2 linked regions of the Mus musculus genome follow. Each later gene encodes a partner of the first gene's protein in a complex. Links are inferred from orthologs where the notes say so. Each region holds a gene or a part of one and is shown in the gene's direction. Other genes may lie near its edges.

What was found.
Region 2: the proteins of Capza2 (region 1) and S100b are in contact, whole or in part, in a crystal structure (PDB 3RM1), measured with the Bos taurus proteins. The link is inferred for Mus musculus from reciprocal best matches to the Homo sapiens genes CAPZA2 and S100B. Residues at the interface, in NP_001013016.1 of Bos taurus: Thr267, Lys268, Ile269, Trp271, Ile274, Leu275; in NP_001029727.1 of Bos taurus: Ile37, His43, Phe44, Leu45, Glu46, Ile48, Lys56, Val57, Thr60, Phe77, Met80, Ile81, Ala84, Cys85, Phe88.

The regions. Positions count from the first base shown.
Region 1 is NC_000072.6:17,663,850-17,668,059, forward strand, and holds the end of Capza2 (F-actin-capping protein subunit alpha-2), read left to right. Parts: intron 1-1,201; coding exon 1,202-1,264; intron 1,265-1,445; coding exon 1,446-1,586; 3' UTR 1,587-3,123; downstream 3,124-4,210. UniProt on the Homo sapiens protein: F-actin-capping proteins bind in a Ca(2+)-independent manner to the fast growing ends of actin filaments (barbed end) thereby blocking the exchange of subunits at these ends.
Region 2 is NC_000076.6:76,252,450-76,256,635, forward strand, and holds the start of S100b (protein S100-B), read left to right. Parts: upstream 1-1,386; 5' UTR 1,387-1,509; intron 1,510-4,186. UniProt on the Homo sapiens protein: Small zinc- and- and calcium-binding protein that is highly expressed in astrocytes and constitutes one of the most abundant soluble proteins in brain.

The DNA.
Region 1 (4,210 bases):
CTCCCTGGTTGAACTGGAACTTGCTTTGTAGACCAAGCTGGCCTCAAACTCACAGAGATCCATCTTCCTTTGCCTCCCAAGTACTAGGATTAAAGACAGGTGCCATTACACCTGGCTCCCTTTTTACCTTTCTGTGTGATGTCTTTCCAGCTTTCTTACACAGTCATTTGCAAAACAAAGCTACTATACTGTCTTACTGTATTCATTTATTTCTTCTATGTGTGCTTTTTATTATTGAAATGGAAACCAATGCCTAAAACAAGGTCATTGAAGATAAGTCCATGACTCTGTACCTAACTTTTTTTTCTAAGATTTGTTTGTTTGTTTGTTTGTTTGTTTATTATGTGTAAGTATAGTGTAGCTGTCTTCAGACACTCCAGAAGAGGAATCAGATCTTGTTACGAATGGTTGTGAGCCAGCATGTGGTTGCTGGGATTTGAACTCAGGACCTTCGGAAGACCAGTAGGTGCTCTTACCTGCTGAGCCATCTCACCAGCCCCTGTACTTAACTTTTAAACAATACTAAATATTTTAAATTCCTTCAAATTCAAGAGCTTTTGTATTTGAATTTTCTTTCTCAAAGTTTTCAACATTCTTTTAGTTGTCTTTGCATCTATTTTCTTGTCAATTTTTTTACTACTACAAATATACTAATAGTGTAATCAGCAGTAACATTTTCCTGTAGATATTTGTGCTTGTATATAAAAGTACTAGTATAAAGTAAATATTAATTTTACAGAGGTATTGACTTTTAAAAAGTTTATGGTTACATTGGACCAGATGCTGCCACCAAAGGAGAAAAATGACAGCTTTTTGACATGGGTTCTTGTAGACACCAGAAGAGGATTTTAGCTACCTCACAGCTAGAATTAATGGTGTTTGTTACTTAGTTCCTAGGATTTATTTTCAAGACAGGGTCTCATTATGTAGCTTTGGCTGTCTTGAACTCACTATATAGATCAAGTTGACCTTGAATTCATAGAGACCCATCTGTCTTTGCCTCTGCACCCCAAGTCTGGGATTAAAGGTATGCACTACCTTGCCTAGCTGCAGTAAGAGCTAAATGGCTTTAAAAATAGTGGGTTAGTGGAAATGCTTTTTTAACATGTATAAGGCCCTTAGTTCAATTCCAGCCATGGAGAAAAAAACTAATTAAAAAATAGAGAGATTTAATTTTCCTTTTTTTTGTTTTTAATTTCAGAATGAGGTGCAAACAGCAAAAGAATTTATAAAGATTGTAGAAGCTGCAGAAAATGAATACCAGGTATGATTTTCTAAAGTATCTGTTCACTGAGGGATGGGTCTTAAGTTCTTTAAGTCCATTTTGTGGGTTTTTTATTTCACTGTTAAACAGTGAGGTGTGCTTCTTAAAGAGTATTCTGAAAATGTCCTGTGTTGTAAGTAGTTGTTTCCTGATTTAAACATCTAACCACTGTTTCTTGTAGACTGCCATCAGTGAGAATTATCAGACGATGTCGGACACTACCTTCAAAGCCTTACGTCGACAGTTGCCAGTGACACGTACTAAGATCGACTGGAACAAGATCCTTAGCTACAAGATTGGCAAAGAGATGCAGAATGCATAAATGAAAATTGCATGAGCAGATTGTTTTAGTGTCTTCGCGTTACAAAAATTATTGCAAAAGTATTCTGAGCTGACAGCTGCCCAGTGAGGTGGGCTGTTGCATCTAAGATCACTGTAATTAAGTAGTGTGGTTAGAGCACAGAGCTTAGCTAATAACCTGTTCCATTTCCTTTGTTCAGAGGGTTGGACATGAGTTTAGATAAGTATCTTACTCTGTTCCTCCTTTCGAAGTCTCTCTCTCTCTCTCTTTCTTTCTCTCTCTCTCTGTTCCTTCTCCTACAATGAAGAGGTGATCCCTCTGGGTCATGTCTAAAGGGTTTGAAATATCTCAAAAGTACCTTCTTTACTGTAACCCTGAAGTTGTCTTTGGCTTGTGAAAGGGGCAGCTTTTGATGTTAGCCCAGGTAGTTTTAGTGGGGTCAGTCAGTAATGGGCACTCTAGTTAAGGTGGTTGATGGACTTAGCCATGTATGCTGCTAAAGAAATTGTCTACCTTTTCCTTTCACCTCTTCCAGCATGGAAGATGGAGATTAGAGGGAGAGCATTTTCTAACGAGTTACGTTAAACCTTCTCAGCAAGGTTATTTAGCTAGCTTAGTGTCTAACTAAACTTTTTTAAAACAAGGCCAAGGTCTGTTGCTGTTTTGAGATTCTGAAATTAAATGAGAATACTTATTTCAGAAATGCATTTAATGCTTTTTTCTTGTGACAGTTATGCAAATTAGCTTGAATTCCATATGTTCCTGAGTTATTTTTATCACAAAGCCACAAGTGTATTATAAGGCAGATTGTAATATATATATAATCCTGAACTCATGAACATGTCTCAGTTGATTCTCCCTCCCCTTGGATTGGAAACTGAATATCAGTGTGACATTAAAATGGCAACATTTGGTATTTATTTGAGTAAAAAAAAAATCACCAGTGAATCATACACTATTTTAAAATACTTTCTTTGTATATTGTCATTCTTAACAAGTTGTAAATTAGAAAATTTGGGAGTCCACATGGTATGCAACTGCATCTTTTGTTCTCCATTTTCCTATGCATCATAAGCATGTTTGTAATACTTTAAAAATATATCTACTGCCACCACAGGAATTCACGCCTCGGTGAATGTTAGCGTTTACTGTAAGGAGTTGGTGGATTTGTGGTTTCATTCAGTAGCTCTGCTGCTTATACTCGAGTGGAATCCATTCCTCACGTACTCCTGCAGACATCTGGGCCTGGAATTTTTTTTTTTTTAAACACCACTTTTACTATGTATAATAAAATATTTCATTAGCTTGAATTGTATAGATTTTTAAAAATTCAATAAGAGCATGTTGTTTAATTTCTTTTTAAAATCACTGTTGGGCTTTGAAAGCATTGCAAATATATGACATTGTGACAGTTTTGGCTAATTTCCTCTTTAGCTTTTAGTCTTGGCATCAGGATTTTTAAGGAAAATGAACTGATAACATTAATTCTATGTCTAGATTTTTAAAACACGTACTTAAATTTTGATGATTCTGAAGTAAATACTAAATAAGTAACTAATTTGGTAAGTTGTGTGAATTGGGCTAGCTAGCATGGGTTTATATCCATGGCAGCCAATTATTTTTACTATTTTCTAGAATATACTTTTGAAAATGTATGCAACTTTTTAAATTGGCATGTGAAACATGAAATTCTTCCAAAATTTCAGGCATGCCAAAACAGTGATTGTACAATTTTAGAGTCTTAATATTTTGTTTATATGAAAGAAGAATGGAGCCATGGGATACCTAAAGCTCAGGTGTAGTTTTAGTGGGAACTGTAGTGGCTGGTCTGGTGCAGGTTAAGTAAGCTGGCATATGGAGGCCAGGAGAGTTGGAGTGAACTTGGGAGGCTCCTACAGTAGTCTGAAAATGCTGGCTTGGACATGAGTGGTAGCTCTAGAGGCAGTATATATAGTGGAAGCTAAGCTTAGTGAGATTTGCTGAAAGCTTGGTTGTGAAACATGAGATGAAGATTTTATTTTATTGTTATTATTCTTTAATCTTTTTTTACAGTCCAGTCATTATCCCTCTCTCGGCTCACCCACAGTTCCTCATCCCATTCCTCCTCCTCCCCCATCTCCAAGAGGATGGCCCCACCCCATCCCCACCCCACCCCCATCCCACCAGACCTGCCCACTCCCTGGGCCCTCAAGTCTCCTGAGGGTTATGTGCATCTTCTCTCACTGAGGCCAGGCCAGGCAGTCCTCTGCTGTATGTGTGTCGGGCCCCATATCAGCTGGTGTGTGCTGCCTGCTCAGTATTTGAGAGGAGATGATGATATTTTGAGCTTGAGGAATTAGGAATAGTTTGAAAGGAACAGGCAGGTAGGTGTTCAGGAGCAGGAGGATGGCCAGAAAAAATTGGTTTTAGATTTCACAGGAAATGGGTAGCAGAGAAAGGAACCAGGAAATAAATGCTGTGCATCAGAAGAATGGGGAAGTAGGCCTGGGAAGGAGTTGCCAAGATGAAGTTCCCTGGGATAGTGGTGATCAGGGTGAAGGAGCATTTTCTGTAGGCATAGAGTACAGGAGCGGAATTCAACCCAGGGACTTGCTTTGCCAAGATTGTGTGACTCACCACACGAGAGGAGGAAGGTTACAGTGATG
Region 2 (4,186 bases), on another chromosome or scaffold:
TGAGGGAACCTTCCCAGTCATGATTATCATGGTCTCCCTGAGTCTCCCTTTTATTGTCTACTGGGGACTAAGAAGAGTAGGGGACCTAATCTTTGTGAACCAGTGGCTTTGATCTCATGTAGATAAATGGTGAGTTGCCCCCTGTAATAGGGAGGAACCAGAGTAGGAGTTTATACCTCTGCCCCAAAGCTAAGAGACACTGCCCCCTTTCCTCAAGGTGGAGAAGCTTTACTGGAGCCCTAACATGTCTAGTCAACCCCTTGGTCTCTGTGATATTTGGGTGTCTTTTGTCATGTAGCTCTTCCCACAGACACTTGGAACACGAGGGGCAAAGGGAAGTGTGACTAAGCTATCCTCTCTTGCTTGGTCAGCTTGGGCCATTGCTTCTGTGTGATTATTCAAAAGGACTGCTCACTTCTGATTTCTTTTTTTTATTTTTATTTTTAAAAAGATATTATGTATACAGTGTTCTGCTTGCATGTACACCTCTACACTAGAAGGGGGCACCAGACCTCATTATAGATGATTGTGAGCCACCATGTGGTTGCTGGGAATTGAACTCAGGACCTCTGGAAAAGCAGCCAATGCTCTTAACCTCTGAGCCATCTCTCCAGCTCAACTGCTCATTTCTGGGCAAGAGCGCACAATTGATGCCATTTGAAGCTCAGGTGTAGTGCTGCTGAAGATAGGCAGTTAGGAACAGACTGCTTTCTGGGGTCATTTTGTGCCTTGACAAGAGGTGCAACATTTCTTCCCTATGCAAAAAGAGCACAGCACAGGACAGGCATTTCTGGCTCAGACAACTCATAACCTTTGACCAGGGTAGGGAGAGAGAGCCCCAAGACAAGAGCTGGCAGGTCTTTCCCTAGGTGCAACAAGTACTAAGTATGTAACTAACTTACTGCATGCTGGTCCCTGAGAATACTGGGCTCAAAGAGGAGTCTGGGGGTAACCACTACCCAGCATCACCAGCCCCAGCATGGCATACCTGCAGGAGGGGACCAGGAAGCTGGCAGACAAGCAAGATGTTCAAGAGGCCTCCTTAGAAGCCAGTCAGGGCCACACAGTCTCCAGCACTCAGCATGAGAAGTTTCCAGTTCTTGGCTGCAGATTTGCTGTTTAAATCAATTCACCCACGTTGTCTCTCTCCTCTTCCCAACCCCAGCCTTGCCTTTGGAACTGGGCCAATGTTCATGTAATACATTTAAAAGGTGCAGAGAAGCTGACTCTACACTTCCTACCCAACAGACCCGTATTCTTTCTAGATCAAGTCCAGTTGTGGCTGCCCAGTGGATCCCCAGGGTACCACTCAATGGGGCCCTGTATGCAGGCCTGGGTGTCTAACTCCTCCCTATCCTTGGCCCCCATTGGCAGCCTCAGCCTGCAGTGGACTGCGCCAAGCCCACACCCAGTTCTCTCTGCAGGAAGAATAAGAAGCTGTTCTGTCTACACTCCTGTTACTCGGACACTGAAGCCAGAGAGGACTCCAGCAGCAAAGGTGACCAGGAGGTGAGAAAGCCACTGACAGGACCCAAGAGAAAACCTGCTTTTTTCTTTCCTCGGAGGGTGAGGGGTGACAGGGATAGAATGGGAACTGAGCTTTAAGAATTTTTTTTTTTAAGAGACCTTTGGGGACATTTGGTGGCATTTCAGAGCTGCTGATTAGGCTGCCTTTACTGTTTCCTTGTGACTGCGGCTGACACTGACTATGCAGTGTCTGTGTTACAGCGGGGGGATTGTCTTTGGTTTTGTTTTCATTAAACCAGGGAAACCTTAGGCCATAGTTAGAACTTCAGAATGACTGCCGATGTTTTTGGAGATGGCGCACAGTGCGTCTTCTCTGAGTCCTAAGGGAAGGATTTCCTTTCCTGGAATAGGGTTACCCCAAATCTCCAACCGCAGCTCCCCTTTCTTCATGGCAACTTTTCCCGGGGTCCCTGGAGCACCCCTGTGAGCTTTTCCAGTTTTCCTATTCGAAACGCCAAGAGCTACATCTCCAGACACTGCTCAAAAAAGAAAAATCCAAAGCAGTTGAAACTTTTCAAATCATTATGAATTGGGACAGAGAGATGAAGGTTTGGGGGTGGCTCCTGACTTTCCTGTCATCCCTCCTGGGGAAGGGTGGTCTCTGTGGGGACCCCTCACCTTACAGGCAGTGCCATCCCAAGAAGCTCCAGCCCTGTGTTTCTTTATAAAGACTCATCCGTTTGTCTTAGAAGGCAGACAACAAACCAATGCTTCCTTAGTTGAAAGAATAGGGAGATTTTTGAATTTTTAATATAGTCATGAAAAAATAAATTTTTATTTATTTATTTATTTTTTGCCTATGGGATATGGTGTTTCACCATTTACTTTTAAGTCTTAGTCCTTATCCACAAAAAGATCATTTAGCTCTCCCTCCCCCAGCCGTTAGGACTTTGAGCAGTATCAGTATGACACAGAATCTCTGAAGACTTTTTTTTTAAATCAATAACTGTGCTGGGTATGAGCCAACCCTTGGGAGAGTAGAGACAAGGAGATCATTATTTAGAAGAGAATCTGGGGACAGTGAGACCCCCATCTCAATCTAAAAAGGAAAAAGGGCAGATAATTCTGTGCCTGTCCTTCCCTCCCCTCTCCTCCCTCCCCTCCCCATGGGACTAAACATATTTTCTTTCATAAAAAAAAAAGACAAACAAAAACAGTAACCGGGGCTGTTGAGATGGTTCAGTCCAGCATCCACATGGAATTACTGACTGTAATTCCAGTTCCCAGTGATCTAACACCTTCTTCTGGCCTCTGCGGGCACCAGGCATGCACGCTACAGAGACATACCTGTAGGCAAAACACCCAGACACATAGGATTTTCTTTTAGCTAAAAGACCAACAGTAACTAAAAACTCAAGTTAAGAGACTAAGAGAGAATGTTACATTTTGTCTATCTGGGTTGTTCTTCTTATATGAGGTACTTCAGGTGTCTTTGGAAAACATGAACAAACCAAAGAACCAGAGAGCCAATACAGGGCGAAAACCTTCGTTTCTTTTGGGAGATCCTTAATAAAAATGTAAAAAGCTACGAAAGTTGTATTCTAAAATGTAACATGTTCAACATGGAAATGACTTTTGAACCTTTGTTTAATTATGACAGTGCAGGTTCTGGTTTAAGGATCAGAACTCGAGGCTAGGAGCTGCCAAATGTCTCTGCCTAAGAGGCTGGTTTCTAAAATGATCCCAGAGCCACCCTTAATGGCTTAATGTTAATGAAGTTCCTCAGATAATCGAGCGGCCCTCCCTGAATCCCCGGGCTGTGGCTGTGGCATCAGGTGCCCACTGCAAAGGCTGTTTGCTTCTCTCAGGCATGCATGCCTGTTCACAAAGAAGCTGCTGTACTCTGAGGCCAGGCCAATGAAGCAAGCACAGAACTCAGGGCTGGGCCTCCGTCGCCCTGTCAGGATGCCAGGAGAACCATATGACCTTGGAGTACGTGTTTCTGCAAGGTCACTTCACTGGTAGTTTTCAAAAACTTGGTACAGGAATTTTACAGTCTTTATTTTTTATATATATATTTTTGGTTTGTCCCCCATCCCCCCCCAAAAAAACCTCACTCATATTTTATTTATACATCTTAAACTAATATATTAATTCAAATGAAAATAAGCTCTTTGTTAGGGTTTTTATTACTAAGATGAACACCATAACCAAAAAGCAAGTTGGGGAGGAAGGGCCATTCAGCTTTGGCGTCCACATCACAGATCATCATCATAGGGATTCAGGACAGGAACTCAAGCAGGGCAGGATCCCGAGGGCAGGAGCTGGTGATGCAGAGGCCATGGAGGGATGCTGCTTACTGGCTTGCTCAGCCTGCTTTCTTATAGAACCCAGGACCACCAGCCCAGGGATGGCACCACCCACAATGGGCTCAGCCCTCCCTCATCGATCACTACTGAAGAAAATGCTCTATAGCTGGATCTTATGAGGGCGTTTTTCTTAATTGAGGTTCCTGTCTCTGAGAAAGGGCTTTAGCTTGTGCCAAGCTGATATAAAACTAGCCAGAACATTCTTAATCTTGTTCCTCAGAATCTTTTGGAAGTACCTGCATTTTTCCTCCTAACCCCTGATATTATTGCTGTATGAGGAAGCTGTTACTGCATTTTAAAAATGGTTCACTGATAGTGATGTGTGTGTGTGTGTGTGTGCGTGTGTACAG